Linked DNA regions of Ovis aries. The main gene of each other region encodes a partner of the protein of the gene in region 2 in a complex. Links are inferred from orthologs where the notes say so. Each region holds a gene or a part of one and is shown on either strand. Other genes may lie near its edges. The genes, in order: GET4 and UBL4A.

What was found.
Region 1: UBL4A (region 2) and GET4 share a complex: the UniProt entries of both Homo sapiens proteins name them as parts of the BAG6/BAT3 complex. The link is inferred for Ovis aries from reciprocal best matches to the Homo sapiens genes UBL4A and GET4.

What each region holds. Positions count from the first base shown.
Region 1 is NC_056077.1:42,174,158-42,189,474, reverse strand, and holds the start of GET4 (Golgi to ER traffic protein 4 homolog), read left to right. Parts: upstream 1-1,745; 5' UTR 1,746-1,803; coding exon 1,804-1,958; intron 1,959-5,452; coding exon 5,453-5,531; intron 5,532-5,739; coding exon 5,740-5,821; intron 5,822-6,154; coding exon 6,155-6,304; intron 6,305-7,828; coding exon 7,829-7,967; intron 7,968-9,143; coding exon 9,144-9,283; intron 9,284-10,804; coding exon 10,805-10,839; intron 10,840-11,034; coding exon 11,035-11,149; intron 11,150-15,317. UniProt on the Homo sapiens protein: As part of a cytosolic protein quality control complex, the BAG6/BAT3 complex, maintains misfolded and hydrophobic patches-containing proteins in a soluble state and participates in their proper delivery to the endoplasmic reticulum or alternatively can promote their sorting to the proteasome where they undergo degradation.
Region 2 is NC_056080.1:79,948,829-79,964,302, reverse strand, and holds UBL4A (ubiquitin-like protein 4A), read right to left. Parts: upstream 9,203-15,474; 5' UTR 9,160-9,202; coding exon 9,112-9,159; intron 8,959-9,111; coding exon 8,853-8,958; intron 8,552-8,852; coding exon 8,337-8,551; intron 8,229-8,336; coding exon 8,122-8,228; coding exon of another isoform or gene 8,118-8,121; exon of another isoform or gene 7,688-8,117; coding exon 7,564-7,687; 3' UTR 7,561-7,563; exon of another isoform or gene 6,672-7,560; coding exon of another isoform or gene 6,560-6,671; 3' UTR 6,506-6,559; downstream 1-6,505. Other genes in the region: SLC10A3 (P3 protein), read right to left, coding at 10,074-11,531. UniProt on the Homo sapiens protein: As part of a cytosolic protein quality control complex, the BAG6/BAT3 complex, maintains misfolded and hydrophobic patches-containing proteins in a soluble state and participates in their proper delivery to the endoplasmic reticulum or alternatively can promote their sorting to the proteasome where they undergo degradation.

The DNA.
Region 1 (15,317 bases), on a different chromosome or scaffold from region 2:
GTTCAACCCAGCACACGTCTTTCAGGGATGAACGGTGTCACCAAAGCCGAGAGCTGAACTCCCTCCCTTTAGGATGAGCTGCTCCTCTGTTAGCATAAGTGGTCCTTTATATCAGCAGGTGCAGAAGTAATGAAAATGGGGTTTCCTGCTTAGCATGCTCCCGCCGCTGAGAAGGATTTTCCATCATCCCTTCAGGAACCCTGGAGTGTTTGCCTTTGTTGCAGGTTTGAAGTGTATCTGACTCAAGAGGGGATGGTCTGGATCTGTATAAAATATAAATAGAGTTCTCAGGTCTCCACTGGGCTCATCCCATCAGGTTCTCCCTGCAGTTTCACTTCACACTATGAATAGGAACCAAGAAATCCAATCTTTTGGGTATTTTCAGGTTTTGTCTTGAATTTTGCTGCAAAGCAAACACTAACATGCTCTGTCTTTCAGAGGCTTATGTTTTTATTCCACTTACAGTTATTAAAGGAGATTGTCCCACGTGGCAAATTCATGAAACCAGGACATTTGGTGACACTGTTCTTACAGCAGCACTTTGTGCTGGCTCTGGTTGGATTTGCCTTTTATTACGACTCGGCCATTCTCTTTGTTTTGGTTATAATTAATATTTAATATTTAGACTTTCACTGAGCAGACTTTATAAATGTATCTGCAAGGCACTTAAAGTTACAGATGTTTTACCTTAAGAATTATTTAAGTTTTATTGGGTTAAGACAGTTTTTTGGTGTACCATAAATGTATTTTCAGAAAAAGACAAAATGATGGTGCTGACTGGTTTTCTGAAGAGTTTTATGTGCATTGCACAACAGTCCTCAAATATACGACAGCCACATACACTAGGGTTTTTTTTCACTCTTGTCAGAATTGAAACTAATGCCTATGCAGTTAAGTTGAATAAAATGTATACATATGTTTCATATATTACAGGATAAATATATAAATCAAAATTTCCTATATAAAGCTAAATTTGGGAGATGGGGTGGAAATATTTTGAATATTTATTTTTAAAGATGCGAGACAGGACTCTGTGCAATGTATTTTTGTAAATGCTTTTCAACATACTTTGGTAGAGCTTCTTTGCTGCCACCAAATTGGTAAGACGCTGCCGAAATGTTTAAATAAAGAGTTTTAACTTTTTAAAGCGCATGTGACGTTTCAGATGGATAATAAACAGTATGTTCTTTTCTCTACCTGCTTCGTCTCTGCCCCGGGCGATGAGGGGGACACAGTGCGTTGAGCGACCCCTCCTCCGACCCTTTCCGGCCGGGTCGCCTCTGCCGGGTCTGGGCCGGGGTCGCCGGGCAGCGAGCCTCTCGGCGCGCGCGCCCCCGCCCCCGCCGTGCGCGTGCCCCTGGCGGTGGCCGTGCGCGCGCCCCCCCGCCGTGCGCGCTCCCGCCGCAGACGCGTCTCCGCGTTTCCCACGGGCCCCCCGCGAGCAGTCAGCGGCGGGGCCGGGTGTCGGGCGCCGGGGCCGAGCGCTGCGCCCGGACCCCGAGCCGCCGGCGCCCCGCTGAACGGCTGGGAGCACGGTCTTCCCCGGACGGCCTCAGTGTCTCGGCGGCCGCAGCCGCGGCGGGGCGCGCCCTGCCCGCGCTCCCGGGCACGGGGCCGCCGCCGCCGCCATTGTGGCGCCGCCCCGCCCCGCGGTCACGTGCGCGCCCGCGCCCCGCCTCCGCGGCCGCGCGCGGCCCCTCGCGGGCCACCGTAGAGGGCACCCGGAGGCCGCCGGGACGGAAGCCGAGAGGCGCTGCCGACCGCGCCTGCGACAGCGTCAGCCCTGCGCGGAGCGCCGGCCCGATGGCGGCGGCGGCGGCGATGGCCGAGCAGGAGAGCGCCCGGAACGGCGCCCGCAACCGCGGCGGCGTCCAGCGCGTGGAGGGCAAGCTGCGGGCCAGCGTCGAGAAGGGCGACTACTACGAGGCGCACCAGATGTACCGGACCCTCTTCTTCAGGTAGGCGCCGCGCCGCGGCCGCCGCCTGCCGGGGCTCCCCGCCCGGCCGCGGAGCCCGGCGCCCCGCCCCCGGCCGCGCCCCATTGGCCGCGCCGCGCCGCCCCGCGCCGCCATTGGCCCGCGCCGCTGCCCGTCGCCTGGGCGGTGGGAGCGGGCGGCGGGGAGGCGGCCGGGGGCGGGCTGCAGCCCGGGAGCGGCGCCGCGGCCCCTCGCCCGCCCCCGCGGCCCCCGCCGGCGCCCGGGCCCGCGCACTCCGGCGCCCGACCCGGAGCCCCCCGCCCGGGACTGGAGCTCCCCGCCCCCGACCCGCGGCCCCGGCCGGGACCCCGGGTGGGCCCGAAGCCCTGGCCGAGAGTGCGGACGGCCCGGGTGCCGGAGCCGCCGCGGCCGCTCGCCCCCTCCCCCGCCCTGAGCGCCGTTGAGTCCGAAAGCCTCGCTGCGCGCCCCCCGGCTCTCCCTCGGCGCCCGGCCGCGAGGCTGTAGACAGGCTTCTCCTGCTGCGTCGCCCTTGCTCACCGTGGTACTGACCCGGCTGTTTCCGTGAAGCCGGTGTTTTTGTGGTGCGTGTGCGGCTCGCTGGCCACGTGCGGCAGTTGAGCTTCTGGAATGTGAGTCCCTCACAGGATGGGCCGTGAGCGCAGAGGAGAGGTCAGGTAGCTTCGGGAACTACTGCCTGCTCGGCCGCACTGGGTGGAACGCGATGTCGCTGTTGGGGTGGCCTCAGGGGCTGCCCGGGCGCCGCCTCGCTCGGTTCTGCTCGGGACTGCGGCGCGCCACACCGTTTCTGCGGTCACTGCCGCTGCTGCTGTGATTTCCTAGCTGTCTCTCTGCGCGTCAGGCATTGCTGTATATTACATAAATGCTGTCAGCCTTTAGGGTTCTTGCCAGAAAACACTTGGGCTATTTGTTAGCATTTAAAGATAATTTTAGAGGATTTAATCTGTTCTGCGGAATGTTTGTGTTTTTTTTTTCCAAACTGTCCCACGGCGGCAAATACTTTGCTGTGATGTTTATGGGCAGTAAGGTCTGCCTTAAAACATTTAGGCCTGGATATAAATTTTTCTTTTAACGGCGGGTTGAATCAGTGTCTTGGGAACTCTGGCAGTGCTTTCTGTTTTGGTGGTTGGTTGGTTGGGACGCAGTGCGAGTGAGCCTGCCTCAGATCGTATTTGGGCTCGGTGGCCCAGAGGACCAGGGAGCAGGGAGTTAATTGTCCTTCAGGGGATGAGTCAAAGGTGTAAGCAGGTTTAAAGTCTGTAACATGGAGCCTTCTGCCCGGAGCCCAGCCAATGAGATCTGTAGGATGGGAGCTCTGTAGCGCTTGAGATTTGCCTGGTGCTTGCTGTTCTCAGGGATTTGTGTATAAATATTTGCCCCAGTGATTAATCAGCAAAACTGGATCGTCCCAAAAATAAACACAGCGTTCCTTGTTGTGAGCCAGCTCTGCAGTCGCCGCTGTGCCAGGAGCGCGATTGTCGATTAGCTTTGAAGTGGCCTCCCTGTGCCCGAAGTGTGCTTTGTGGTGACCACCAGCCCTGCCTTGACTTGTATTCACATTTCTCCTCTGCTCAGTGACCTGTAACCCAGGACAACTTGCTAAACCTCTTCTCCACGTCTTGGCTTCCTCTTTGGTCTTTGAGGGGCTCCTACACGTGTTCAGGACTCCTGAGAAGTGAACGGTCAGCTGTGGACCCAAGCAGGGTGGCGTTAGTGGGCGTCCAGAGGGCCCAGCTGAGTCGGCCTGCAGGGCGTCATCCGTGCTCAGACCTGCGGTTGCAGTCCTGGCTTAGAGCTCTTTGTGGCTGGCAGCTTCCGAAGAAGTCAGCCTCACTCTTGTAATGACTTTTTATAAGTGCTTTTAAGCATTTATATAAATGTACAATTTGATGGGTTTTGACATATGTATTCACGCAAGAAATTATCACCAAAGTGCTGAAAATACTCCTCATGCCCCAGAGCTTTCTCTTCTGCCTTTAAGATGACTTTTCACCCCTGGCCCCCAGGCGTCCACTGATCTCTGTTATGATACGTGGGTTTGCATTTTCCGGGATTTTGTGTAAGTAGCATTGTATAGCATGTCCTCTTTTTATCTGACTTCTCAAGTTTCCTTAGCGTGACCGTTCGGAGGCCCACCCTTAACACGTGTCACTAGTTAATTATTGTTGAGTGGCAGCGGTTGCGGGGGCCGCATCGTCTCATCCGGTCACCTGTTGGATAAATTCACCTATCTGTGCTATTTTAATTCGCTTACACTGTGTCCCCCAGCAGCCTGAGGAGGGGGAGAGGAACTGGTTTGGATTTACAGGGTGTGTGCTGCGCGAGGGGGGCAGGAGCTGCTGGTTCCAAGGACGAGGGCGGCCGAGCTCCGTCCCAGGTGTTACGGGCACTCTCTTCAGCCTTCTCTCTGCCGGGACAGGAAGGGCTCAGACATGTCCATCTGCGGCGTGCAGAAAGCGCGTCAGGCTTCGGGGCACCTGTCGCTGCTGGGGGGTTTCCAGCCGCTGGCGGTTCTCCCGTGGGCAGGGCTGCCAGGACTGTGTGGCTGTGGTCACTGGGAACCGGGGCTGCTGCCCCAGGAACCCGGCCTGTCTGCCTCTCGGGCCTCCGGTCTCTCCCTGGCTTTTTAGGTGCTTGTCTCTAGCTGTGCTTCGGGGGAGGATCCGGAGCCTGTCGTGTGCGTGAAGCAGAGCCCGCTGTGAGCATCTGTGCCGTGGCCTGCAAGGGCTGGCTTTTCCAGAAGCCCGGCCCACGCCCGCAGGTGCCCTGGGTGCTGCCCGGGCTGTGGGTGTCTCCTCCTGGTCCCACCCTGTGCGCCGAGACTGAGGCTGCTGCTCCCGAGCCGGGTGCATAAAAGCCCTTTTCCGTAGTTGGTCCCGGCCTGAGCCCGAGGGCAGCAGGGCTCCCCTGTCGCCTCTCCTGCGCGCCTGCTGGCCGCGCACCTCTCGCATCTCCCACTCGGCTTGTCTGGGCTGGAACACAGGTCTGACCGGCTAGGCGGGTTTCGGGCCTGTTTGTCCGAGAGGAACATGTGGCCAGTGGGCCTGGTGTCCTGTGCTCAGCTCAGGCCTGACCCTGCCACCCTGGATCTCTGTCTTGCTTGTTGTGGAGGAAGCACCCTTTGTATTCTGTGTGGGCCTCATTGCCCATAGGTCCGCCTGCAGTTGGGAAGCCAGCTTTTCCCAACTCCTGTCCCCAGCGAGATGCCTTCCCGGTGGAAAGCACTCAGGGGAGGGGACGGCCTCGCAGCCCATCGGCCCCGATGCGTGGTCCTGGCCAGGTTCCCCTGCCTTTTGTCACGGTCAGACCTGTGTCTGAAGCTGGAAGTGGCCCTCAGCCCCTCCCTGGTCCCTCTGCTGAGACCCCTGCCCTGCACCAGGAAGGTGCTGCTGTGGTCGGAGACGGTGCCCACACGCGGTCACCAGACGGGGGTGGGGAGTGGCCGAGCTTAGCGGGCCTGTGTGGTGGAACCTGACGGCCTGCCCTCTCTCCCGCAGGTACATGGCCCAGAGCAAGCACGCCGAGGCCCGCGAGCTCATGTGCTCCGGAGCCCTGCTGTTCTTCAGCCACGGACAGGTGAGCCGTCAGCGCAGAGCATCCAGGGAGAGGGCTGGAGGGCGACCCTAGCGTGCCCGTGTCCCGCCTCGGTGCTCAGAACTGTTTCCTAGGTGCGGTCGGCCACTGGTTTTTAACTGGCAGCCAGAGCTGCTGGCCAGCCTCCCCGCCTTCTGAAAACTGGCAGGAGCCTCTCTTCCCACTGACCAGCCTCTCTAACGTTTTACAGCAAAACAGCGCCGCTGACCTGTCCATGCTTGTCCTGGAGTCTCTGGAGAAGGCAGAGGTCGAGGTGGCCGACGAGCTGCTGGGTGAGGCGGCCCGAGCCCCACCGTGCACGCACACACGCACGCGTGTACTCACATCTGCACGCACGCGTTCGCGTGCTCACACACTGAGGCCTGCACGGACCCTGGGGGGGTGGCTGTGGACACCCGCAGCCCGTTTCCCGCCTGCCCGCGCCGCTCGCGGGCCCCGCTGGGGAGGCGCCTGGTGAAGGCGGGCGGCGAGTGGTCGGGTGGCCCCAGGGCCCCACCACGGTGCCTGCCCCCGGGGGTGGTGGTTTCGCTTCTTTTAGATGCCCGGTTCAGAGCCGAAGCCGCGCGCGTGCCTCCGGGTCAGGCCTGTGTGCTGTCGTTTTGCAGAAAGTCTGGCCAAGCTGTTCAGCCTGATGGACCCCAACTCCCCGGAGCGAGTGGCGTTCGTGTCCCGAGCCCTCAAGTGGTCCAGCGGTGGGTCAGGGAAGCTGGGCCACCCCCGGCTCCACCAGCTGCTGGCCCTCACCCTGTGGAAAGGTAGGTGTGTTCGGGTGGCCGCGGGCGCTGGGCTCTGCATCCGCCACCCCCACCGGCCCGTCTGCACCCACCGCTCTCTTCTAAATGGGCAACCGCGGGCAGGGCGTCGCCGACCCATCAGCGCTGCGGCAGTCCTCAGGCCGGGTGGACACATGGCGGACACGGGCAGGGGCCGTCACACCGCACCGATGGGCGGCCTTGTCCGCCCCGGCCTGTGGCGGTTCAGAAGGCTTCGGCTAGAAGCCACTTTGCTCTGGACGCACGGGCCGGGCTCTGTCCGCACGGGCCGGGCTCTGTCCGCAGGTTGGCTGGGCCCGAAGGCCGCTCTGCGCCGCCTTGTCCGCCTGCGTGCCCAGCCTACCCGAGTCTGCGGAGCCGGGTGTGTGCGGCTGGCGCCTGCGCAGAGACCTTGCTGAGGTTGGGAGCTGTGTATCTCTGGTACACGTATATTAAAGATTTAAAGTTGAAGATCTGAGTATTTTAAGGGTCTCAAGCACAGATGGTGGGTGAGGTTGGCGGGACCCTGCGCACGTGGGAGGCTATGCTGAGGGGTGTTTGCAGGTCCCCCCTGTGATGGGCACCCCCCAGGGGTGTGTGCGCGGGGCCAATGTCCTGTGAAAGGGCTGTAGGAGCCCTGGCCCCCTGAGGTCTCGTGCAGCTGCTTGCCCGGGGCTGGAGGACGCTGGAGACTTGCCAGGTTTCTCCTCTCACCTGGAGGCTGTGAAAGCTCTTGGGGTTGGAGGGAGAGGAGACCCCGGAACTAGCTCGGTGCTGGAGGCGGCCAGGAGCTGGCTGTGACCTGGGGCTGGGCTGTGCTGGGGAACGGCTGGAAGGTGGAGAAGGCTTAACCCGAAGCAGTGGAGACTCCCCTGGAGGAGAGGGACCCAGTGTGGCGGGTGAGCAGGACCTAGGGTCCCTACCCTGTAGCTGGGTCTCAGCCTCTGTGCCACCGATCCCGGGTGTCCTGCCAGCTCTGTAGCTGCTGGGTGGTCTGGGGTTGGGGTTGGGTACCGTTGGCACCCCCAGCTGTGACGGTGGACAGTAGCTCCAGGCATCCCAGTGTAGGACTGAGTGGCTGGGGTACTGGGGTAGGAGCTGAGTGGCTCTGGGTGGGAGATGTTGGCTGGAAGGTGGGTTGGGGGATGGGGGCCCCTTCACAGCTCCAGTCCTCTACTGAAACTGGGCAGGCTGGGGCTGGGGTTACCCACCCAGAGGGCAGTAGCCAGTGTGGAGTCAGAGGCTCAGAAGAGCTGAGCAGCAGAGGACGGCTGGTCCCCAAAGAGCCCGCGTCCAGTCCTGGGTCCTCGTCAGGATGGCAGACGTGGGCAGAGGGCCCCTGGGCTCCACCCTGCGTGCTCCACTCCCGGGGGCCTCAGGTTCTGCCTTCCTGGCTTGCTCCCAGCTGTCCCCATGGTGGGGGCAGTCTGGCCTCTGCTGGGTCCACCGAGCAGGTGGCGTGCGCGGACGCCACGGGGCCCTGTGCTCACGTCGCGCTCACGCCCACCCCCCGCGCTCCGCCCGCAGAACAGAACTACGGCGAGTCGCGGTACCACTTCCTGCACTCGAGCGACGGCGAGGGCTGCGCCAACATGCTGGTGGAGTACTCCACGGCCCGCGGCTTCCGCAGCGAGGCGGACATGTTCGTGGCCCAGGCCGTCCTCCAGTAGGTACCCGCCTGCTGCCCCCTCCTCGCGTGTGGTGTCCCGGGGCCCCAGGCTGGCCTCTGGCCGAACCTCACGCAAGCACAGGTCTGAAGTCACTTGGCATCCCACACACGCCTCACGTCCCCAAGCATGACGCTGCCGCTGACCTTCAGGGGCTCCAGACCTGCCCGCCCTCAAATCAACTTGGACGCTTCTGTTGACAGAAGTACTTTTTACGCCTTAAGTTACTTTTTTGTTGCCGTGCATTTTGTTTTCCTATTTATCCGTCACATCTGGTTGGGAGGGAGTTACTCTTTTGGTGGGACACAGGCATTCACTGAATTTTCAGCGCCACGCTGGGATGTGAAGTGTCCGTATGACACGGGTCTTGTTCAGAGGCGGCTTGTCTTCCCGACGTCTCTTGGTCCAGACACGGTGATGGGGGGCCGCCCGCAGCTTCCCACCCAGCTCTGTGTCCCCGCTCTTCTGTCCCAGCTGAGTCTTCTCTTCTGAGTTGTTTGGACAATTTATTCTAAGGACGTTGTGGTACAGCAGAGTCGCTGGAGGCGGGAGCACCGCGTCAGGCCCACATGGTGGGGAGCTCACGCGAGGTGACTGGGGCCCGGCCTCTCCCCCCAGCGGATACACCGCTGCTGTGAATGAGGTCCACCTTCCCAGAGAGGACTTGGGTCGGCGGCCAGGCCTCGGGCCAGGCCGTGTCTCGTGAGCTGGGGGACAGGGAGCTTCGGAACCCCACCAGCACCACTTGTTGCCGAATCTGGACTCCGGGAACAAAACCAGTCCACCATCCGGAGCGCCCTGACCCCAGCTTGGCGGGTGGTGCTGATGTCCCCTGCGGCCTCTGCCCTTCCCTGCCCATCTGGCTGTGTTGTGGGCCCACGCTGCGCTGAAATCTGGCCACAGACACGTCCTCCACAGGGAGGAGGCCAGCGCTGGGCAGCATCCAGCCCAAGTGCTCGCCGGCAGGGCAGGCAGGCACTCGGGCTCAGGGAGCTGCTGCTCCCCTCTGCTGACCTTGGCCGGGCGCCCTCTGGAGTTAGTCCCCACGCTGTCAACCCCAGCTCCCTGCGCCGGGCCTGGCAGGCACCTTAGGCGGGCGGAGCAGGGCTGTGGGCCCCCATCTCCTCCTCCTGAGGATGTGTGCAGCCGCTGATTGGGACGTTTCTTATTTCCAGGTTTCTCTGTTTAAAAAACAAAAGCAGCGCCTCGGTGGTGTTCACGACGTACACACAGAAACACCCGTCCATCGAGAGCGGGCCTCCTTTCGTGCAGCCGCTGCTCAACTTCATCTGGTTTCTGCTGCTGGCCGTGGACGGGTGAGTGTGTGCGTAGGGGCGGTGCTTGTGTGAAGGCACTGGAGGTGTGCAGAGGCATGTGTGTGGAGGCGTGTGTGTGTGTGGAGGCGTCTGTGTGGAGGCGTGTGTGTGTGTGGAGGCGTGTGTGTGTGTGGAGGCGTGTGAGTGTGTGGAGGCGTGTGTGTGTGGAGGCGTGTGTGTGGAGGCGTGTGTGTGGAGGCGTGTGAGTGTGTGGAGGCGTGTGAGTGTGGAGGCTGTGTGTGTGTGGAGGCGTGTGTGTGTGGAGGTGTGTGAGTGTGGAGGCGTGTGTGTGTGTGGAGGTGTGTGTGTGTGTGGAGGCGTCTGTGGAGGCGTGTGAGTGTGTGGAGGCGTGAGTGTGTGCAGCCGTGTGAATGTGTGGAGGCGTGTGTGTGTGGAGGCGTGTGAGTGTGGAGGCTGTGTGTGTGTGGAGGCTGTGTGTGTCTGTGGAGGCGTGTGTGTGGAGGTGTGTGTGTGTGGAGGCGTGTGTGTGGAGGCGTGTGAGTGTGTGTGGAGGCTGTGTGTGTGTGTGTGGAGGCTGTGTGTGTGTGTGGAGGCTGTGTGTGAGTGTGGAGGCGTGTATGTGTGTGGAGGCTGTGTGTGTGTGGAGGCGTGTGTGTGCAGCCGTGTGAGTGTGTGAATGTGTGGAAGCATGTGTGTGGAGGCGTGTGTGTGTGGAGGCGTGTGAGTGTGTGGAGGCGTGTGTGTGTGGAGGCTGTGTGTGTGTGGAGGCTGTGTGTGTGTGTGGAGGCTGTGTGTGTGGAGCGTGTGTGTGTGTGAGTGTGTGTGTGTGTGTGGAGCGTGTGTGTGTGGAGGCGTGTGTGTGGAGGCTGTGTGTGTGGAGGCGTGTGAGTGTGTGGAGGCGTGAGTGTGTGGAGGCGTGTGAGTGTGTGGAGGCGTGTGTGTGTGGAGGCGTGTGTGTGGAGGCGTGTGTGTGGAGGCGTGTGTGTGGAGGCGTGTGTGTGGAGGCGTGTGTGGAGGCGTGTGTGTGGAGGCGTGTGAGTGTGTGGAGGCTGTGTGTGTGTGGAGGCGTGTGTGTGGAGGCGTGTGTGTGTGTGGAGGCTGTGTGTGTGTGGAGGCGTGTGAGTGTGTGGAGGCGTGTGAGTGTGTGGAGGCTGTGTGTGAGCGTGTGTGGGCGTGTGTGTGGCGTGTGTGTGGGCGTCGGCCGTGTGTGCTGTGAGTGTGTGGCTGCGTCTGTGTGTGTCAGTGGTGTGTGTGTGTGTGGACTGTGTCGTGTGTGTGTGGAGGTGTGTGTGTGTGGCGTGTGAGTGTGTGGGGCGTGAGAGGCTGTGTGTGTGGTGAGTGTGTGCGTGGGGGTGTGGAGGTGTGTGGTGTGGAGGTGTGTGTGTGGGAGGCGCGTGTGGGGCGTGTGAGAAGCTGGGGGTGGGGGGTGTGTGTGTGGAGGTGTGTGTGGAGGCGAGTGTGGGGGCTGTGGGGGAGCGTGAGTGTGTGGAGGCTGTGTGTGGCGTGGAGGCTGTGTGGAGGCGTGTGGGGAGGATGGTGGTCCTGGGTGTGCTGCTGCTGGGGGAAGCTCACGGTGTTCACGGTGCTGTGGGGAGTACCAGCTGGGGGATGGCGAGGTGAGGCGGGGAGGGCTGTGGGAGAAGCTGCATGGGCGTGGGGGGTGGGGAGAAGAGGGAATGGGGAGACGCTGGGGGGCGGTGGGAGAAGCTGGAGGGAGGCTGGGGGAGACGCTGGGGAGACCCTGGGGGGCGGTGGGAGAAGCTGGAGGGAAGCGGGGGGACTGGGGGAGACGCTTCCGGGCGCGGCCCGGCTCAGTGCCCGCCCCCCACAGTACCTCGACAGGATAGGACAGCTCTTCTTCGGTGTGCCGCCCAAGCAGACGTCATCCTACGGAGGCTTGCTAGGTGAGGGGGCTCACGGGTGGGGGTCCGTGGGTGCGGCTCAGAGCCGAGTGCGTCCGGGGCCCGACGTTGGCAGGGGGGGTGCTGGCCCATCTCCCCGCCCCCCGGGAGCCCCGGCCCTCCGCCTCCCGAGCAGAGCGGTAGGGCCTGTTGCCCCCGGTGAATGCTCTCCCCGGGGCTCCTGTCTGTTGACCGCAGAGTCAAAGCCGGCTGTGCTTTGTGGTAAAACACACGTTAGATGCCGCTGCCCACCTCAGCCGTGCCGTGGGGCCGTGAGGCTGCAGTGGGCACTGGTCCTGGCCGAGCCCCAGCCCTCCTCTCGGTCCCTGCGAGCCTGGCGCCCCCCGGGGCCTCACCTGGTGGAGTCGGTGCCTGTCCGGTGCTGGCTGCGGCCGGTGCCGTGACTCCCTTCCTCTCTGAGGCGGCGTGTGTCCCGTCGCGCGCGTGGACCGCGTCTTGTTGACCTGCCCGTCATCAGCAGGCGCGTGGGTTCTCCCCCTTGGCCCGCTGTGAGCGTGGCTGTGCCCGCCGTCTCCGTGAGGTCTTGCTTTCGGTGCTTCTGGCTGGGCCTGTGCGATTGCTGAGCACACGCCCTCCGCCCACGGCGGCTGCTCCGCTCTGCACGGCCGCCGGCGGGGCGGAGGGTCCGGGGCCTGCACGGCCGCCTGCCGCCAGCACTTGCTGCCGGCTGCTGGCGGCGGCGTCGGGGCGCGGGGGCGCCGGACCCGCGCTGCCGGGGCTGCCGCGTGTTTGCTCAGGGACCGAGCACCCCTCTTCCGTGTGCTCGTCGGCCGCTGGCTCATGTCGTTTCCCTAGCTCTGAATCTGTACTGGCTACCAAGTCCTTACCAGACGCATGAGCTGCGACTATCTGCCCCCATTCTGTGGGTTGGCTTTTTTTTAAGCAGTCTTACGTCCAAGCAAGACCAAGAGGAAGGTAGGGAGGTTTCCCACCAGTGCCCCTCCGCCGCCGGCGCAGCCTCCCCGCCTGCAGCGGGTCCACCTGTCAGGACGCCCCTGCTCGGACGGCCTCACCACCCGGGGCTGAGGACGCCAGCGTCACTCTGGTGTCTGTGAGTTCGGACAGGCGCCCGGTAGCGTGCACACGCCGTTACTGTGGTGCTGCCCTGAAGACCTCTGTCCGCCTGTTCTCGCCTCCCCTTCCTCGGCACCGTTTTACTCCCTGGAGTCTGTCTGAGATTCTTAATTGGAGGGTGACGCTTTACGGCGCCGCGCTGGAGGGTGACGCTTTACGGCGCCGCGCTGGAGGGTGACGCTTTACGGCGCCGCGCTGGAGGGTGACGCTTTACGGCGCCGCGCTGGCCTCTGCCGCCCGTCGCGCGAGCCTGGAGCGTCTTTTGACACGAACGTTAAATTTCCACCCTGTTTTCTGCTGCTCTTCGTTGCTGGTGCCTTTGGAGTCATTTCCAAGCCCAGCGTCGCGAAGCGGTTGCCCTGTGGTTTAAGAGTTTTGCTGGCTGAGGCCTCCATGCGGTCCTTGGTCCGGTCTGAGGGGACCTTTGACGTGGTGCTTGCGCGCGCGGCCGTCGGCCTGGTTCCTGGGTGTGCGGGTCTCCAGTTTCCCCAGCACCGCGTGTTGGAGGACTGCCCTTTCCCCACCGAGTGGGCGCATCCCGCTTGCCCAAAGCCTTTTGCCGCAGATGTGAGGGACCCTTTCTGCGCTCGCTCTCCCGCTGGCTGGCGCGTGTCTTCCGCTCGGCCGCCCTGGTCTCTGTGGTTTCTAGGGCGCGTCTGTCTCTGCGCCCCAGTGGGCTGTTCCTTGCCCGCCAGGCTCCTCCGCGGGATTCTGCAGGCAGGCACACCGGAGCGGGTCGCCGTTTCCTCCTCCAGGGGATCTTCCGACCCAGGGGTCGAACCTGCGTCTCCTGCGTTGGCAGGCGGGTTCTTCACCACTAGCCGCCTGGGAAGCCCAGCCTCGATGCCTGTAGCTTTAGAGTAAGTTTTCAGATGAAAAAGTCCAAGACCTTAGTTTTGTTCAAGATTGTTTTGGCTGTTTGAGTCCCTTGAGAGTCCATGTGAAATTTAGGATGGGTTTTTTTATTTCCACAAAAAATGTTTCGGGGATTTGAGATTTCATTCAGTCTGTTGACAGCTTTAGGTAGTATTGACATTTGAACAATATTAAGTCTTTTTGTCTAGGAATATGGGATGTGTCTTCACCTACGTATCTTTCAGAAATGCTTTATACTTTTTCTGTCGTGAAATCTTTCACCTTCTTGGTTCAGCTAGTTAACTGTTTTATTCTTTTTGATGCTATTGTAAATAGAATTGTTTCTGTTTATACTCTTTGGAAATTTTTACATGTAAAATCATACCACTTGCAGACAGATAATTTTACTTCTTTTCAATTTGTAATTCCTTTTATTTTCTTGCCTAATTGCTCTGGCTAGAACCTCAAGTTCAGTTGACCCTTGAACACGTGGAGAGGTTGGGGTGTTGATTCCCTGAGCAGCCGAAAACTGGTGTGTAACTTAGAGTTGGCCGGCTGTTCATGGGCTCAGCCAGCTGCAGTGTGAGCATAGGAAACAAGCCCGCGTGTGAGTGGGCCGCGCAGTGGCCGTGTTGAGCAGGAGTGGGGCAGCGACCCTTTGGTTTCAGGGCAGGAGCTCCAAGCCTGTCACCGCTGTGGTGGCTGCTGTGGTCCACGTCTGGCTTTCATCACATCCTGGCGTGAGATGGTTTCCTTTCTGAGTGTGTTCATGAGCGTCTTGGCTTTGTCAAGCGCTTTGTCTGTAGCCATTGATGACCATTGGTTTCCCTTCACCTGTCAGGCTGTGTCACTGGCTGGTCTCCACATGTGGAGCCTCCCTCCACTCCAGGAGCAGAGCCCGCCTGGCCGTGGCGCTGAGCCTTTCCCCAGCTGCCGCTCTGGGTCTGCGAGTGTCCTGCTGAGGCGTTTGCGTCAGTGTTCATGAGGGATGTTGGTTTGTAGCTTTCTTTCCCTGCAGTGTCTGTTCTGGCTCTGGCACTTGACGGGCAGGTGGTCCTAGCTCAGCAGTTTCACCAGGGAAGCTATGAGGTTCTGGGATTTTCTTTGCTGGAGCCTGACTCCAGATCCGTCCCCTGACCCTAGAGCGTGTTGGGAGTGTGTGTCTTGGGCACTGGCGGGTGCGGGCCCGGACGCTGCCTCTCCGGGCCAGGCCTCTCCCTGCCCCGCTGTCTGTGCTGCCTCTGTCTCCCGAGTCCTGGCTGCCCTGCCCTCCCGCAGGGCAGGGGCCAGCTGAGTCCTGCACTCAGACGTGGGTTTTGGCATCGCTAGCGCTCTAGGCTTCCTCTTGAGCAGATGAAGCGCCTTACAGAGTCCACATGTGCCGGGCCCGCCACTGTCCCCGGGGGACATGCAGGCCAGGCAGCCGGTCTTCTCAGCTTCCTTGGGGGGAGCTTCGCACACAGGCAGACAGCCCCTTCTCCATGAACCCCCAGCCCCTGTCCTTTGCTGTGGAGCTGCCGTGGGCCTCAGGGCCCCCGGCCCGGGAGAGCAAGGCCCTCGGCTCGTCCCCTGCCCGATAGGCCATCGCAGGGCGAGCCTGCCCCATGGGGATCTGCAGGGAGGCTGGGGTGAGCGTTGTCGATCGGCGCTGCCACAGGGAAAGGTCTCCTGAATCATCTGAGCAGCTGTTTCCGCTTAGGTACAAGCCGGACTTGACCTGTAGGCGGAGTGGTGTGGCGTCAGCGGCGGGGTGGGGGCTGCTGCCCTTTTCTGGGCTCTCACCGCCTCCAGTCCTCCCGCCCCTCGGGCCTCAGCAGCAGCCCTGCTTTTCCGGCAGAACCAGTCCCAGAGTGCCGCCCTGGGGCAGGCTCACCCTCGGGGCACCACACACCCTTTCTTCCTTGCTCCCTTGTGTGGTTTGGGCTCGGGCACTTTATAAACTTTGCTCTTTGTATCGACGGAGGAGTGGTTCTTTGGATAAAAATTAGGTAAAGTGGCCCAACGAGGCCCACAGGCGGCCACAGTTGCTTTAGAACCGACACATCTCCTTTATTCCTGGGGCACTGGAGAGGTAACCTGCGAGTGAGTGAACCCGCTGCTCGGTCCCCGGTGCCCCAGGCCTGTGCTGGTGGCCGTGCCGGGCCCCCGCAGGCCCCCCGGGGCGGAAGGAGGGCGTGGGGCAGGAGGAGGGCGCAGGGTGGGGCCGCGGGGTGGGACCGGA
Region 2 (15,474 bases):
CTTTCTTTCCCACAGCTCGGGCCTTTCACAAACTGTATGACTCGATTTTAACTTCCCTTTTCTGTTCTGCAAGTTTTTGACAGTAACCTTATACGGCATTTTTAATCAAAAATAAGTTTTTAAAGTGACATGAAATTTCTGATGGTGATAGCCCTGTTAGTTTTCTGTTTTCCTCCTTTGTAATCAGAAGGAAGGGCATAAAGGTGAAGTAGGTTATCAAAGCCTGTTGGATCACCCCTCGAAATCCATCCTGAATCAGCCTACCCTCTCCCCCTTCATTGCTAGTCTCCACCGGTGGCCACCCTATCTCCCTGAACTTGATATATATATTTCACATATAATTTAATTGTTTTTGGCTGTGCTGGGTCTTCCTTCCTGTGAGGGTTTTTGTCTAGTTGCAGCAAGCGGGCTTATTGCAGTGCCTTCTCTTGTTGGCAGAGCTCAGGCTGTAGGGCGCGTGGGCTCTAGAGCACAGTCTCAGTAGTTGTGGTACTTGGCTTAGTGGTTCCCAGGCATGGGGGATCTTCATGGATCAGAGCTTCCAAGTCTCCTGCATTGGCAGGTGGATTCTCTACCACTGGGGCTTCCCTGGTGGATCAGATGGTAAAGAATCTGCCTGCAGTGCAGGAGACCCGGGTTTGATCCCTGGGTGGGGAAGATCCCTTGGGGAAGGGAATGTCTACCCACTTCAGTATTCTTGCCTGGAGAATTCCATGGACAGAGGAGCCTTGTGTGGGACACAATGGAGTGACTACTACTTTCACTTTTTTTTCTTCACCAGGGGAGCCCCTTGAACAGCTTTCTGACTAGTTTTCTTCTATGCTTGCTCCTCTACATTCTGTTCTCCACAGTAGAATCAGTTCTTAATTTTTAATATATATCACATCATATCATGTCCCTGCTTAAAGTTACTAAAACAGTTTCCTGTTGTCTTTGAAACCAAAGACAAACTCCTTCCTGTAGCTTATAAAAGTCCTGTGTGACCCGGCTCAGGGTTCCTCCACCTTCTTGCTTCCCTACTCTGTGCAACCTCTAGGGACTTCTCTCTGCTCCTGACCAAGGGTGGCCTGCCCGCATCCCTTAGCACTTACTTTTTCTTTTTGGAAGACTGTCTCCAGACTTTCCCGTTGCTGGCTCCTTCTTGTCATTAAGATCTAGTCTCCAGTGTCAATTCTGAGAGGCCTTTGGGATCACCAATCTAACATACTACCCCCAGGCACCGTGCATCACATTTGCCCATTTCAGGTTGCTCATTTCTAATAATCTGAAATTGTAAGTTTGTTCACTTCTATACTGTCATTGTATTGTCTCTGATACCTTTTCTATGTAGTTCATGCACTAGGTGGTTTGTTTCTTGTTGGATGAAACAACATTCTGTGTGCTCCGTTGTGTCTGACTCTGCGACCCCATGGACTGGACTGTAGCACGCCAGGCTTCCCTGTCCTTCACCATCTCCCGGAGCTTGCTCAAACTCATGTCCATTGAGTAGGTGATGCCATCCAACCATCTCATCCTCTGTTGCCCCCTTCTCATCCCCTCAAAAACTCAGACAGTGTCTTGGGCCTAGGAATGCCACATGTACCAGTTACTTCACAAATATGAAACAACATATGCACAAAATTACTTCAGTTCAGTTCAGTCGCTCAGTCATGTTGGACTCTTTGCGACCCCATCAATTGCAGCACGCTAGGCTTCCCTGTCCATCACCAACTCCTGGAGTTCACCCAAACTCATGTCCATCGAGTCGGTGATGCCATCCAGCCATCTCATCCTCGGTCATCCCCTTCTCCTCCTGCCCCCAATCCCTCCCAGCATCAGGATCTTTTCCAATGAGTCAGCTCTTCACATGAGGTGGCCAAAGTACTGGAGTTTCAGCTTCAGTATCAGTCCCTCCAATGAACACCCAGGACTGATCTCCTTTAGGATGGACTGGTTGGATCTCCTTGCAGTCCAAGGGACTCTCAAGAGTCTTCTCCAACAACACAGTTCAAAAGCATCAATTCTTCAGTGCTCAGCTTTCTTCACAGTACAACTCTCACATCCATACATGACTACTGGAAAAACCATAGCCTTGACTAGACAGACCTTTGTTGGCAAAGTAATGTCTCTGCTTTTCAATATGCTATCTAGGTTGGTCATAACTTTCCTTCCAAGGAGTAAGCATATTTTAATTTCATGGCTGAAATCACCATCTGCAGTGATTTTGGAGCCCCCAAAATAAAAGTCTGACACTGTTTCCCATGTTTCCCCATGAAGTGATGGGACCAGATGCCATGATTTTAGTTTTCTGAATGTTGAGCCTTAAGCCAACTTTTTCACTCTCCTCTTTCACTTTCATCAAGAGGCTTTTTAGTTCCTCTTCACTTTCTGCCATAAGGGTGGTATCATCTGCATATCTGAGGTTATTGATATTTCTCCTGGCAATCTTGATTCCAGCTTGTGCTTCTTCCAGCCCGGCGTTTCTCATGATGTACTCTGCATATAAGTTAAATAAGCAGGATGACAATATATTCCCAAGCAGCAGTAAAAAAAAAAAAAACAACCAAACAATGAAAATCTCTAATGAAATAAAAAGAAAAATGAAATGATTTCCATTGTTATGTGGGGGGAAGAAAAAAGCTGAGTGCAAACGACCTGTGCACACACACTCATAGATACACATGCTTATTGGGAAAAAAACTAAAGGGGATGGAGAACCCTGAAACTAGTGAAAATTCTCACTGATAGGGGGTTGAGATGGGTATAGGATTTCTTGTAATATATTAATATCTTTTTGTGTAGTTTTGACTTTAAACCATAAAATATTTTATATATTCAAAAATACATTTGAAAGAGGGGAAAAAATGCTAAAACAGAATAAAAACAAAAGCAAGTCAGCCTAACTGCATATCCAGTTAGTAACAACCACACAGAGAAAATGAGTCACGAAACTTTCAAACTCACTCTCTGACGGTGCTCCCTTTATGGGATATATTCTAAGGACAGAAAGAATCGGCTTTATTCTCAGTATGTGTGTTGTTAGTAATGATAGTCCTGAGGTGATTCTGAAGCTACTTTGAGTATACTGCAAGGTAGACTGTATCCAGTAGAAGAGATGAGTAAACATATCCATATACGGTTGTTTTTTGCTGTTGTTAGGAACATCAGTGTGGAATGAGGGAAGCTGAGATAGAACTGTGCTACCAGACTGGAATTAGGGATCACATTATGAATTCTTAAAAAAAAAATAGATTGCCTAGTTTTGTCCAGTGAGAGTCTAGAAGCAATGTCACTCCAGTAGCAAAGAATGTTCCCTGTACCCAGAACTTGGTTCTCAACACCAGTCTCCACTAAAAGGGACCAGAGCTCGAGAAATGGAAGATTCTAGGTGTGGGTCAGGGAAAAATACAAGAGGAGCCTGGAGCACCTTGTAGTGTCAGAAAGGAAGGATATGCTTGAAAAGGAAAAGAATGGGACATGTGAAAGAGACATGGGAGCCAACTGGAAAGAACCAAAGCTAGAACAATTTGAGCACCCCAAAGGTTATTAAACCTTTTGAAGAGGAGGCACCAGGGAACGTAATATATAGGCAGACATTATGTATATATTTCAATCTGGAGGGGATGCACACATGGGTATATTCACTTTGAAATTCTGTTGAGCTGTATATCGATGATTTATGCCCATTACTGTATGCATGCTACAATGCAGTAAAAACTGTCCCCAAAATGACACTTAGACAACTTAGATTCTAAGTTGTTGAATAAAAAAAAGCGTCCACCATGATAACTAAGAAAAGACAGCAGGGAAAAGGGAAAGCTCTTTGTAGAGAAATGCCAACTAATAATTGCAGAAAGCAAGACAACCCAAGAAAATCCACCATTTTGCAGCCACCTGTGCAATTCATCCAGTTGAACTGATCCAAATGGGGAGCATCCTTGGGTGGTAAGACCATGAGATGCAGGTTGTTGGGGAAAAGAGAATCCCTGGGTCTCAAGGTATCACCCAGATGACTTGTGTGTTAGGAACGGAGAAGGCAGCTTTACCAGGGAGAGACTGAGTGATCAAACTGAGCCTCCTTCACATTGCGTGGGGAGGAACACAGCCTGCCCTGGGTGGCCACTCTCCTCAGAAGGCCTAAGCTGAATCTAACCAGCAAGGAAGGAGGCGAATCCAGATCCTGGGACTTGCTATGAGGCCAGTGCCCTAGACTCTTCCAAAAGCATTGCTGTTTGATGGCCCATGGACAAGGGAGAGTTAGGAGAGGCAAAGGTGGCCTCCCATTTCCTGTCATCAAAAGCCTGACCCAGTGGTGTTGCCTTTCACCTTGGGCACATGGGTGCCAGGCAGGAAGGAACTGTGTCTTCCAGTCCCTGTGCCACCGACATCACAAGCACTAAAGGGGTGACAGGAGGTGTCTGCAGGGAAGCTGGACACGGCTTCAGAGTCACAACCCAGAGCCATGGCCCGAAGCTCAGAGATGGGGCTGGGGTAAGTTGCAGACATGGACACAAAGCACAGAAATGGCAATGAAGGCAGACAGGTTCCCCAGGGAGTGAGAGATCCGGAGAAGAGATCTGGGGATGGAGCCTCAGTGTCCCCCATAAGTAGGAGATGGGTGTGTTGGGGGAGAGCCAGCACAGGTGAAAAGTAAAAGTGAAAGTTGCTCAGTCGTGTCTGACTCTTTGCGACCCCATGGACCAGAATACTGGAGTGGGTAGCTGGTCCCTTCTCCAGGGGATCTTCCAAACCCAGGGATCAAACCCAGGTCACCCTCATTGCAGGCTGATTCTTTCCCAGCTGAGCCACCAGGGAAGCCCAAGAATACTGGAGTGTGTAGCCCATCCATTCTCCAGGGGATCTTCCTGATCTAAGAACTGAACCGGGGTCTCCTGCATTGCAGGCGGATCCTTTACCAATTGAGCTATCAGGGAAGCCCAGAGCTAGGGGAAGTGGAAGGAAAAGTTGGAGAGGGCAGGCAGAAGAGGTGGAGAGGGCAGGCAGAAGAGGTGGCCTGGGGCAGGTCCCCAGTAGCTCCGGGAGGCTGCTCTGGCTGGGCCTTGGAGGGGGACAGGGTGACAGGGGTGAGCATCTCTCCCGCAGGCTTTCCAAGGCCCAGGGCACAGAGGCCGCCATGGCCCTTGCATCTCCCGCTGGCAGGGCCTGACCCGTCCTCAGCAGCACTTGTCAGATCTATTGGACCTGGTAAGGCTGGCTTTTGTCCAGGCTTGCGTGGAAAGCAAGGCACCAGCAAATTGTGCATGCAGCTGATCTTTGCCTGGGCGTTTTCCAGCTCAGCAAGCCCCACCCCAAAGGAAACGCTGCTTTCCTCTGAGCCTACCCCTCCGCCAGTGTGCCCATGGCAAGTGGCACCACAGGCATCTTATTCCAGGTGCCGGACTGTTGCTGTCTGGGGCCACTTCAGCTGGGCGTTTCACTCGCCCTGCCATCTCCTAGTGGGGCTGTTTCAAGGCTCCTCCACGAGGAGAGAGTGGTCTCAGGCCAGGGGATGGGAGTGGTAATGGGGGGGTCAGTGCCCACCTCTGGGGCAGACACTTGGCTCAAGGGGCACAGTGATGGCCTTAAACATTCCAGCCCCTATGGAAGGATACTGCAGCATTTGGAGCCCGCAGTGTACATGGGGCCACCCCCTCACCCAGAAACTAAGGACAAAGGCAGGGCACAGCCCGTGGCCATTCTATCCTCTAGCGATGGCACAAGGCCTAGACCAGAGCCTCCGTGGCCCCTTCCCACCTAGGCCTCCCATCTCTCATCCCAGCACCTCTTCCCTGTCTCCCCACCCCCACCCCCCATAGCTACACACTCCTGCCCAGACAAGCTTCTGGAACCAGGGGTCTCCAGTCACTGGCAAGACTTTCCCCCTCTCCACCATGCAGCAACTTCTTGCCCTAATATCACCAATGACCTTCTTGTTAGCTTGACAGGAGGCTGCCCTCTTTTGCTTCTTGGCAGCACTATACACTCTGTACCCTGGCTGGAGGGGCCTTCCTGGCCTCTGACTCCAAGCTCTCCCTGTGGCCTTGCGTCTGCAGAGGTGCCTTGGCCTCTGCAGTGTCTCCAGTTGGTGAAGTCTCCCCCAGGTCCAGTGCTCTCCCCTTTCTTCGGTCATGCTCTCTGGGAAGTAATTTCATGCATCCTCGCAGTGTCTGGGACATTGTGTCCACAGGCCCTCCGGAATGTCGTGGAAAACTGCACAGGGCCGCGGAATCAGCCTGTCGGGCCTGTCAGCAAGGCACCTACTATACACCTGGGAGACACCACTCCTGTCTCCATGGGCAGCCTGAGCTCCCCGATGACTTTCTGCACCCAGCAGATGGCTCCTAGCTACCACAGGGTCATCACCTCCCAGTCGGGAGGCACACAAGACTCACCAGCTGTCTCTTGTGTCTGTCAACAAGACCCGTCTGCACGCGTCAGCTCTCCCCGAGGACCCGGCCTTCCTGAGAGTTGCCCTCTCCCTTCCACAGCCCACCCAAGCCCCTGATAAAATGATGGAGGCACCCGGTTCTAAGCATCCAAAAGGGACAGCGTTTATTTGTTGGGGCAGCTGAGGAGGAAGCTACGCTAGAGGACGGGAAGGTGCTCCGTGCTGGCTGTGACCGAGGGGTTCGGTGGAAGCTGCAGGCAGCCATCTTCTGATCCTGAGGTAGAGGCCTGGGATGAAGCAGACACTGCAGAGTGCAGAGGGGAGGTAGGAAGAAACTGGGTATTTGGGGAAATCATTTATCTGCTGCCAATACCCCTGGACTTCTCAGTTTCGCAAACCAATACCTTCTCTTTATTGCTTAAACCTATGTCCTGTAATGGTTAAATCAACGATGGGGAAACCAAAAGCAGTTCAACTAATAGAGTTCCTTTCAGGTCAAAGTCTCACATGCACCTCTAGTGTGACTGAGAAGGTCAATATAAAATTTCCTGACTACAAAGAAATGAGAGCGTAGGGAAGTCTATCACATGAACCTTGTGGCAGTGCATGCCCAGCTCCTGGGTGGAGCCATGGACTTCCACCTGCTCTTCAAAGCCTTTGGCCCTCGAGCCACTGTCTGTCCTCCCCACCTGGGGACCCAGCACTTACCCTATGAGGCTCAGGCCGGAGAGTGGCCCAGGTGCCCTCCTCTGAGGAGCAGGTGCCTAGACGATCTCTACGACCCACCCCCCAGCTTCTGCCCCCACCCAGGTTCCCTCTCAGACAGTGAGTGGTGTGCACAGTGGGAGGCCCTGTCCACATGTGGCAGAGGATGGGCAAAGGGTACAGGGGCCTGCTCGAGTCACCTCGAGACCATCACCTGTCATCTCTAAAGGTCATGGACCGCTTGTGTCTGGGAGGAGAAAAGAAGGGGGTGCCCAGAGAAAATCTGTGACACTAAGGGCCAGGACATTCCGTCTCTGGGCCACGCTTGGCCATCACTCAGAATTTGGCCTCAGTTTGTATCTGGGACACAGGAGTAGGATGCCTACAGACTCCTGACCCCAGGCTTTGGAGCTAAAGAAAACTAAGAGAGTCTCAAGAACAGCCCTCACTGAGCAGAGTTGAAGGCTGGGGACCAACGTGGCACCTACGTGTCACTCCCCAGAGTCGGGTGACATCCTAGACTCCCCAGCCCGCCTTCCGTTTGAGTGCATACTGGTTGCAGTCACTAAGGGGGCCCAAGGCTGGCCATCACCTGACCTCTTGCCAATGCCGGACCTGTCAAGGATGAGGTGACAGAACTGGGCATCAGGGGCTAGCTGCTTCCCCTTCCAGGCCTGGAAAAGGTATTGCTCGAGGGTTTCTCCTCAGTGGGCTAAACCTGGAATGTCCATGGCCACCCCTCAGAACCCGTCTGAACGACCCTTTTCTCCTTCTCACCCTGAAGTACTTCTGGAAGCTGGCTGGACTCAGAATCTGGCTCCTTGCCTTCTCCGCTAGGAGCCTCGGCTGTCTCACCTTTTGTGCAACATGTGGGAGCCAACCTGGGTCAAGAGCTTTGAGTGGGGCCTGGCACCTAACATGAGCCAGATACAGGTACCCGAGTACCCGCCAGGCAGTATTATGAGCCAAGTTGCAATACAAGAAGACATTTAATGCTACATGCAGCTTGTGGCCTGGCCAGGCTCCTCCCCACACTCCGAGAATCCTACTTGGAGAACCCCTTCTCCATAGCTTCAGTCGCTTCGGGGTGCAGGAAGCGGCCAGCCAAACGTTCAATGTCATCCAGCGTCAGGCGGCTCAGGGACCGCTCATAATCCTGAAGAGAGAAAGCCAGAAGGATTCAGGGGTGTGGCTTGGGGCGGGGGGGCCCGCTGGGACAGAGGCAGGTGGGCAGGATGCAGAGGTCCTGGGCCACGCTTCTCACCCTCTGGAGTTGATCCAGGACTCTGCTGGCATCGGCGGCGCTGAAGTGCTGGGCCAGGATTCTGGAAATGAGCGGCCAGGCGGCGGGCGGTGGGGCTGGGGCCTCGGCCGTTTTCCGCGCAGTGCTTTCTTCCAGCAACACCTTCTCCAGAGGTTTGACCACTAGGTTGAGCTTGGAATTCGGCCCGATGCTGTAATCGGAGAGTCTTTTCCCATCTGTCCGAAAGAGAGAGGGAGAGGGAGAGAGGGAGAGAGGGAGAGAGGGAGAGAGGGAGAGAGGGAGAGAGGGAGAGAGGGAGAGAGGGAGAGAGGGAGAGAGGGAGAGAGGGAGAGAGGGAGAGAGGGTCGCACTGACCCTCGGAGAGCCTAGGCGAAGCGCAGCGGTGAACTCCCGGGATGGGGGTGGGGGTCACCTAGCCAGAGCCCCCTCCACCTACACTGCTGCCCGGGCCTGGGCTGGACGCCCCGTCCCCTGGCTTCCCGCGGGTCTCCCCCAGCGTCCCCTCTTCCTGGTTACCTGCCAGGGCCTTGCCCTTGAACAGCAGCCGCTGTTGGCGGACGGGGATGTTCAGCTTTTCGGAGACCAGATGTTTCAGCGTGGACACCAGCTCGTCCTCCGACACCTGTCCCGGCCGAGAAAGGTGGGCGGGGGGTGAAGCCGCGGCCCGCGCGGAGGGTGGCTCTCCCGAGGCGGCTAGCCCGCCGGGTCCGTCCCTTCCCGCGGCTCGATCCCGCACCCGCGGGGCTGACCGCGCAACCCAGCCCGGCGATGCTACCTGAAGGCTGCACTCGCGGCCCTGGAGTGCCTTCACCGTCAGCTGCATGGCGGCCGCCGAGGCGTCCACTCGGGCCGGCGCGCACCCCAACGGTCCGCCGCCGCGCGCCGCCGCCCCGGGCGCGCGCCGGAACCGCCCGCCGCCGCCGGAAGCATCGCGAGGGGCGAGCCGGGCATCGCGGCCCCGCCCCGCCGGCCCCTCCCCCCACAACCTGGACTGTCCTCCGCGGAGCCCGGGGCGACGGAGCCCAGAAGCCCGCGGAGAGTGGAAAAGGGTGGCGGGACCAGTCGGGCTCGCTCGAAGGAGTTGGGGAGCTGGGCCCGGGGAGACGGCGGGCCGGGAGTTCGCGCGCCACCGCCCGTGGGCAGAGCAGGTCAACGCTGATGCCCATCCCATCCCCTGCCTCTCAGGAGCCTGCAGAAGACCCGGCCCCGCCGAGCTCGTTTCACCACCCGCCGGCCTCTTTTTTACTTCACCTGTGGAAAAGCAACTGAGCTTGGGATCTGGTGGGGGAGTCAGGCCTCTGCCCTTCCCACTGCTTCTTCTAGAACAGATACACAGCTCTCAGAGGTGATGCAGGGGCGAGGAAGGCTAAATCTGGCCAGAGGTCACTGTGTCGCCAAGCCAGCCCTCCATCCTGGCCCACACCTACCTGGCCACACCACGCCCTTCCTTCCCCGACCCGCAGGCCTCAGAGGGCAAAGACAGCATGATACCCAAGCTTGCTTCTGTTTTATTGAAATATATTTTCTGGGCAGTGCCCGCTTACAGAACTCAGCATGGCCTCTTTGGCACTGAAAGCTGGAGAATAAAAAACGAGTAAAAAAAATAAGCCTGGATTTTTTTTTTTTTCTGAGTGCATAGTGCATGAGAACTAAAGGCCTTTGGTACACAAGAATGGTGGGGACAGTTGATGGAGGTTGGGGGCTGGGGGTGCCTGGTGAAAGCTTGACCCGGGGGCCTCAGGGAACGGTGCACACGCTGCTATAGATAAAGTGGCCAATTACTAAGGCCAGCATCTCCGAGGTGCCACTAAGTGCCACAAGGAAAGGGGCCTGGGAGGCATAGTCAGCCTGGAGGCGGCGGAGGGACAGCTGCAGCATGGCCAAGGCCAGAAGGCTGTTCTGCACCCCAACCTCGATGCTGACAGTCCGCCGCTGGGCCACTGGCAGATTCAGGCATGTGGCCAGGCCGTAGCCCACCAGGAGGCCGACCAGGGGCACTGTGAAGCCCACCAACACGATGGGCAGCCTGACGCCTGCCAGGATGAAGACCCCCATGCGGTAGGCCAGGAAGAGGCCACCCAGGAGCAGCACAAAGCTGAAGGGCTTGATGACATGCAGCAGCAGCTGCGAGAACTTGGGGAGCTTGGACTTGATTACCACGCCTGCTGCAATGGGGATGGCAATGAACAGCAGGGTCCCCAGGATCTTGGAAACAGGCACATGGAGTGTTTCATGGATGCTGAGCAGGCGACTGTAGATGGCTGAGGACAGCGGCAGGAAGCCGGTGGCAGCCACCGTTGAGATGAAAGTCATAGAGATGGCCAGAGTGACGTCCCCTCCGAGGAGGAGGCTGAAGAGGTAGCTCCCCCCGCCGCCGGGCGACGAGCAAGTGATGATGAGGCCCAGAGCCAGGGCCTTGGGCAGCATGAAGACCTTAGCCATCAGAAAAGCATAGAAGGGCATGACTAGGAACTGGCCCAGAAGGCCCAGCAGCATGGGCTGGGGGTTCTGCAAGAGCCCCTTCAGTACCTCGAGCTCCACTTTGCACCCAAATGAACACTTATTGACAAAGATAAGAGGCAGGAGCAAGTAGAGGATTGGGTTCTCTGAGAAGTGGACCAGGTTAGTGCCGAGGGTGATGGGGGTGTCTTCAGCGGGTGAGACCTTGATGCAGAAATCTCTCCGCTCTTCGATCAGCCTGGGCGGGGCCTCGCGGGGGTCCGTGAGCTGGATGTGGAGTGGGGCTATCCCAGGCAGGCCCGAGCGGATGCTTACCACGAAGCTGCCACCGCCGCCCCAGGCTATAGCACTCACATTCTTAATGGTCAGCACCTCTGGGTCCAGGGAGGTGACCCTCAGCATGGGGCTGGGTCCTGTCCCGTTGCCCTGGCCTGGGTAATGGCTTGTGATCACAATGATGCCCTCGCTCTCTTCTGGGAACTCAAACTCCATCACAGAGCCATCTCCAATGCTCAGGTAGCGGCCCCTGGTCAGGGGCATGGGATGGCCCAGAGCCGGGCTGAGACTGGCACTGGCTGTTCCCCGGGCCCCCCACAGCAGGCTGACAAGCAGCAGGGTGGCCCTGAGCATGCTTTGGGGGCCCGTGCAACCAGTGCCCCCTTCTGGGCCAGGCCACTGCAGGGAGCAGCCTTCACCACTCCTAAACACCATGGCTCCTTCCCAACGGTGGGGCATGCAGGCCCTCTGTGGCTTAGGAGACCAGCCTTGCTGGTGCCGTTGGGTGGTCCTCAGAAGGGTCCATGGGCGAGGTCTGGTGCTGGGCTCCCTTTCTTGATGGTAGAGCTCTTCCTGAGAAGAGAAGGGACATGGCGGTGGCTGGTGAGGGCGAGCAGCTGTGAGCCCAGGAGCATGACCGAGAAGCCCACTGCTGGGAGACTCAGCCGGGTTCCTTGCTGCAAGCCTGGGGATGGCCCTTGAGTGCCATTCGGGTGTCCCTTCCCCAGTCACAACTACCTCAAGCTTCCCCAGAAGGGGAAGGGACAGGTAGAACTTTGCCTTCGGCCTGCTGATTCAGGCTGATTTTGACAGTTCAGAGATGGCCTGACACCAGGGGATCAGCCCCAATCTTGTCACCACTAGCCTGTGCCCCACTTGCTTTGAGGCACAGTTGCGGCAGTACCACAACCAGGAGGAAATCTCTGAAGGACAGCCCAGGGATGCCCAGGAAGCAGGCCTGATGAGAGCAGGCCAGCTCACGGCATCTGAGTGTCATCTGACCAGCAGAGAGCAGCTGGCAAAGTGGTGTGGGCAGCGGGTGACCCCCGGGCCAAAGGCCCCATGTGCTGATGTTCACCACTGCCATGTGAACGGTGCTGCTGTGTGTGGCCATCTGGCCTACCTACCTGCTGACAGGGGCAAGATGGAGGTTCTGGGAGGAAGCAGGTCCCCTCTCTCCCCAGGGAAGTTGCCAGAAGGGGCAGCAGAAAGGGATCAGACATGGCCACGTGTCCACTGAGAGGTTTCTCCCCTTTCTGTCAGAGCTTTCACTCCCCTGGCAGGCCCAGAATTGGAGCTCCTAGAGCCACTGTGCCATCTGAGAGGCTCTGATCAGAGTTCAGGGATTCCTCCCATGCCCACGTGGACCCCTACCAGAGCCTAGAACTACCCTTGAGGAGTGTTTCTAGAGGGGTGGGCTGCCTCAAGGGGAAAGAAGGACGTTTGCCTCTTTCCACTTCTCAATTTGGGCAGCCCACACCCTATTGTCCTGCAGGAACTGGGGCAACCAAGATGAGGATACAGTAATTCTTCATCCTTACTGTTGACTAACTCATGCCTGGCATTGTCCGAGTATTGGAAGAGGCCCCTGCATCTCTAGATCCTATCGGGGATAGTCTCATTTGAGACTGGGGAGCAGTGGAAGTAGGTGGTGGAGGGCTGGTTCAGCACAAGGCTCATCCCTGGGAAAGTCATCCTCTACCACCCTGGGATGCCACAGCCTCTCCTGGCTTGGCATTTGGGTTACTTACCCTGGAGGCCTTGATCCAGCCTTGGGTCCCACCGCTGAAGAGGGAGGCAGGAAAACCAGAGGGAGCAGAAGTACAGTGGAGGGGACTCACAGGGAAGAAACAAAGGCACCTGGGACTGAAGCCACCGGTCTGGTGTGAACCAGTTCAGAAGGCAGAGGAGGTGAATGGCCATGCACCCCGTCGTTCCAGTACTGCTGGTGGCTTTGAGTCACTGTATGGGGGATCCGGCCCAGATCCCACCATTTCTGCTTGAGGTGCCAGGAGAGTTTGGGCAGATACGCCCCAAAACGAGGGAGGGTACCCCGGGTCAGCAGGTTTTCCCCTCACTGGCCAAGTGTTCGGTGTCGGTGCAGTTGGCAGTGCTGACCCGGGGCTCCTCCCTACCTGGGAGTCCGGAAGTTGTCGGACAGGGCGGATCAGAGCTCGGGCAGAAATTAGGGAGGGAGAGGGGGAGGAGCGCCCTGCAGCCGGCAGGCCGGAGATTCGCCCGGGCGGCCCCGGGATCCCTCACGCCACTCCCGGTCCCCGCGGCTGCACGAACGCCCGGCGGCGACCCTTCTCCGTGGCGCCCGGCCGCCACAGCAAGCGAGGGAGGAAACTGGCCGGAGCCAGAAGTCGCCTTCCGACCGCCCTTCTGGCCTGAGGCTCTCACCTGCCTCGGCGGCCCGGAAACGGCGCCGGAGCCAGCGCCTGCAGGGCCGGCGGACGCCCGCGAGCGCTGCCAGCCGGGGCTCCGCCCGGAGCCCGACGAAGCACCGCCTCCGCCTCCGCCCCACGCTCCCGCCCCTCCTACCCCACGGCGGTCCCCTCACCTCTCACCGTCGGGGCGGGCCTAGACCGGATGTGACGTAACACGGGAGCGACGAGTCTGCGTGCGTGCCCGCCGGTCTGGCCGCCTTCCGGGTCGCTGTGGTTTGGCGCTGGGCGCTGTCTCGTGTGGCTAGCGAGACGCGTATCCCAGTCTTCTGTGGTCGCTGCCAGGGCGACCCGTACCGGTAGGCACCCCACTCCTTCCCAACCACGCTGCGACCTCTGGGGGCAGTGGGACATATGCTTAGCCCTTAGCCAAGCTAGGACGCCCGGGAGCTGCTGCTTAGTGGCGGGACCCAGGAATCAGGGTTTCTGTCACGTGCCTACTCTGGGCGCTAGCCCTGTGGCCAGAGGGCCGACTCTGAAGGACCCAGACTCTGGGACCCAGTCTCGGCCATGTTCCACCTTCCTACGTTCAAGCAATGACCGAGCGCCTGTTTCCACCCTGTGAAAGATCAGTGGATTTTTGAATGTTTCAAAACTATTTGGGGCCACCAGCAAGGTCCTAAGGTTTCACGGAGAAGGAATGCAAACACATGGCATAAGGAAGGGCAAAAAGGTGGTGAGGGTGTAGAACATGGATATGAGAAGAAAGTGAACAAGTGTAGAATCAAAGGAGATTTGTATGTTCCCAAAGGTTGCTGGGCAACCGCAGTCAGGCAGCGGGACAATAGCTACCCACTGCTCTGGAAGAACCTCTTGTCAGGGCTGTGATGGAGGCCAGTGGTTCCCAAAGTTCCAGGTTCTTGCCCCAAGAAGGTTCCTAAGACACATCGTAGAGAATGTCCAAAAAGACCTGTAGCATATCTATTTTTATTTTCCCAACAAATGATAACTGTAATCATCTAAATAAAAACCTATTAATTTTAATTTAGCCTTATTTATTGAGAACTGTATTTGTGTGTTATAAAGTTCAGATTAGTACATTCATGTGATGTGTAAGCAGATAGACACACATGGTGGGGTGCACACTCAAGAGGGTTTATGTCAGTGATCAAGAAACATTCAGAGCTGTAGCTCTAGGCTGTTCTTTAGTCTCAGTTAAGACATAAGCCTTTTGTGTGTGTGTTGACTTAGTATCCCAGAAACTCTGTACTGTCCCTCTCAAATGGGGTTGAGAGGTCCTGATGGAAGCAGGGTGGCACAGGTGAGAGGGCACATGCTAGGCTGAAGACTGCAATTTTGCAAAGGAGCAGTGGTGCTGTCCTTGTCTGAGGATGGGGTAAAAGTGGCCAGAGAGAGAAGGGGGATGGATCAGCTGAACATTGAGGATGGAAAACCTAAACAATCTGTTTACCCTTGAGGAACCCTTCATTTTTATATTCCCAGCTGGATGAGAATTGGTGTCAGGGGTCAAGGAGAACAAATGTAGTTAGAAGGCTGCTCCCCATTATCATTAGTCTATCCAGCCTTCCCTGAAAAGCCAGAGGGGGCTGGTGGGGTGGGGGGTGTCTGACCTGAAGGAATTTGGAGGGCTTCCCTCCAGGAAAAAGGGGTGGCTAAATTAAAATTATGGGGTCACAAATAGTTGGACACGACTTAGTGACTGAACAACAAAAAAAACAAGAATGTTTGTAGTTAGTTTTGAGGATTAATAATTTACCCCAGAAGAGAAGGAAGGTCTCTATGAGTCAGTCAAGGATATCTAGTTCCAAAGGAGAAGTCATCTGGACCAAGAAAACAGATGGAACAAATGATAGTTACAGCTAAAAGAACATCAGGGCACTTCAGATGGGAGACCCACCGCCATCCCACTAACAGGGCACAGTGATGACGCTGAGAAGTGGACTTACCTCCTGCTTTCCCAGGCAGGGGCCTCCAGGAAGACTGTGATAAATTAG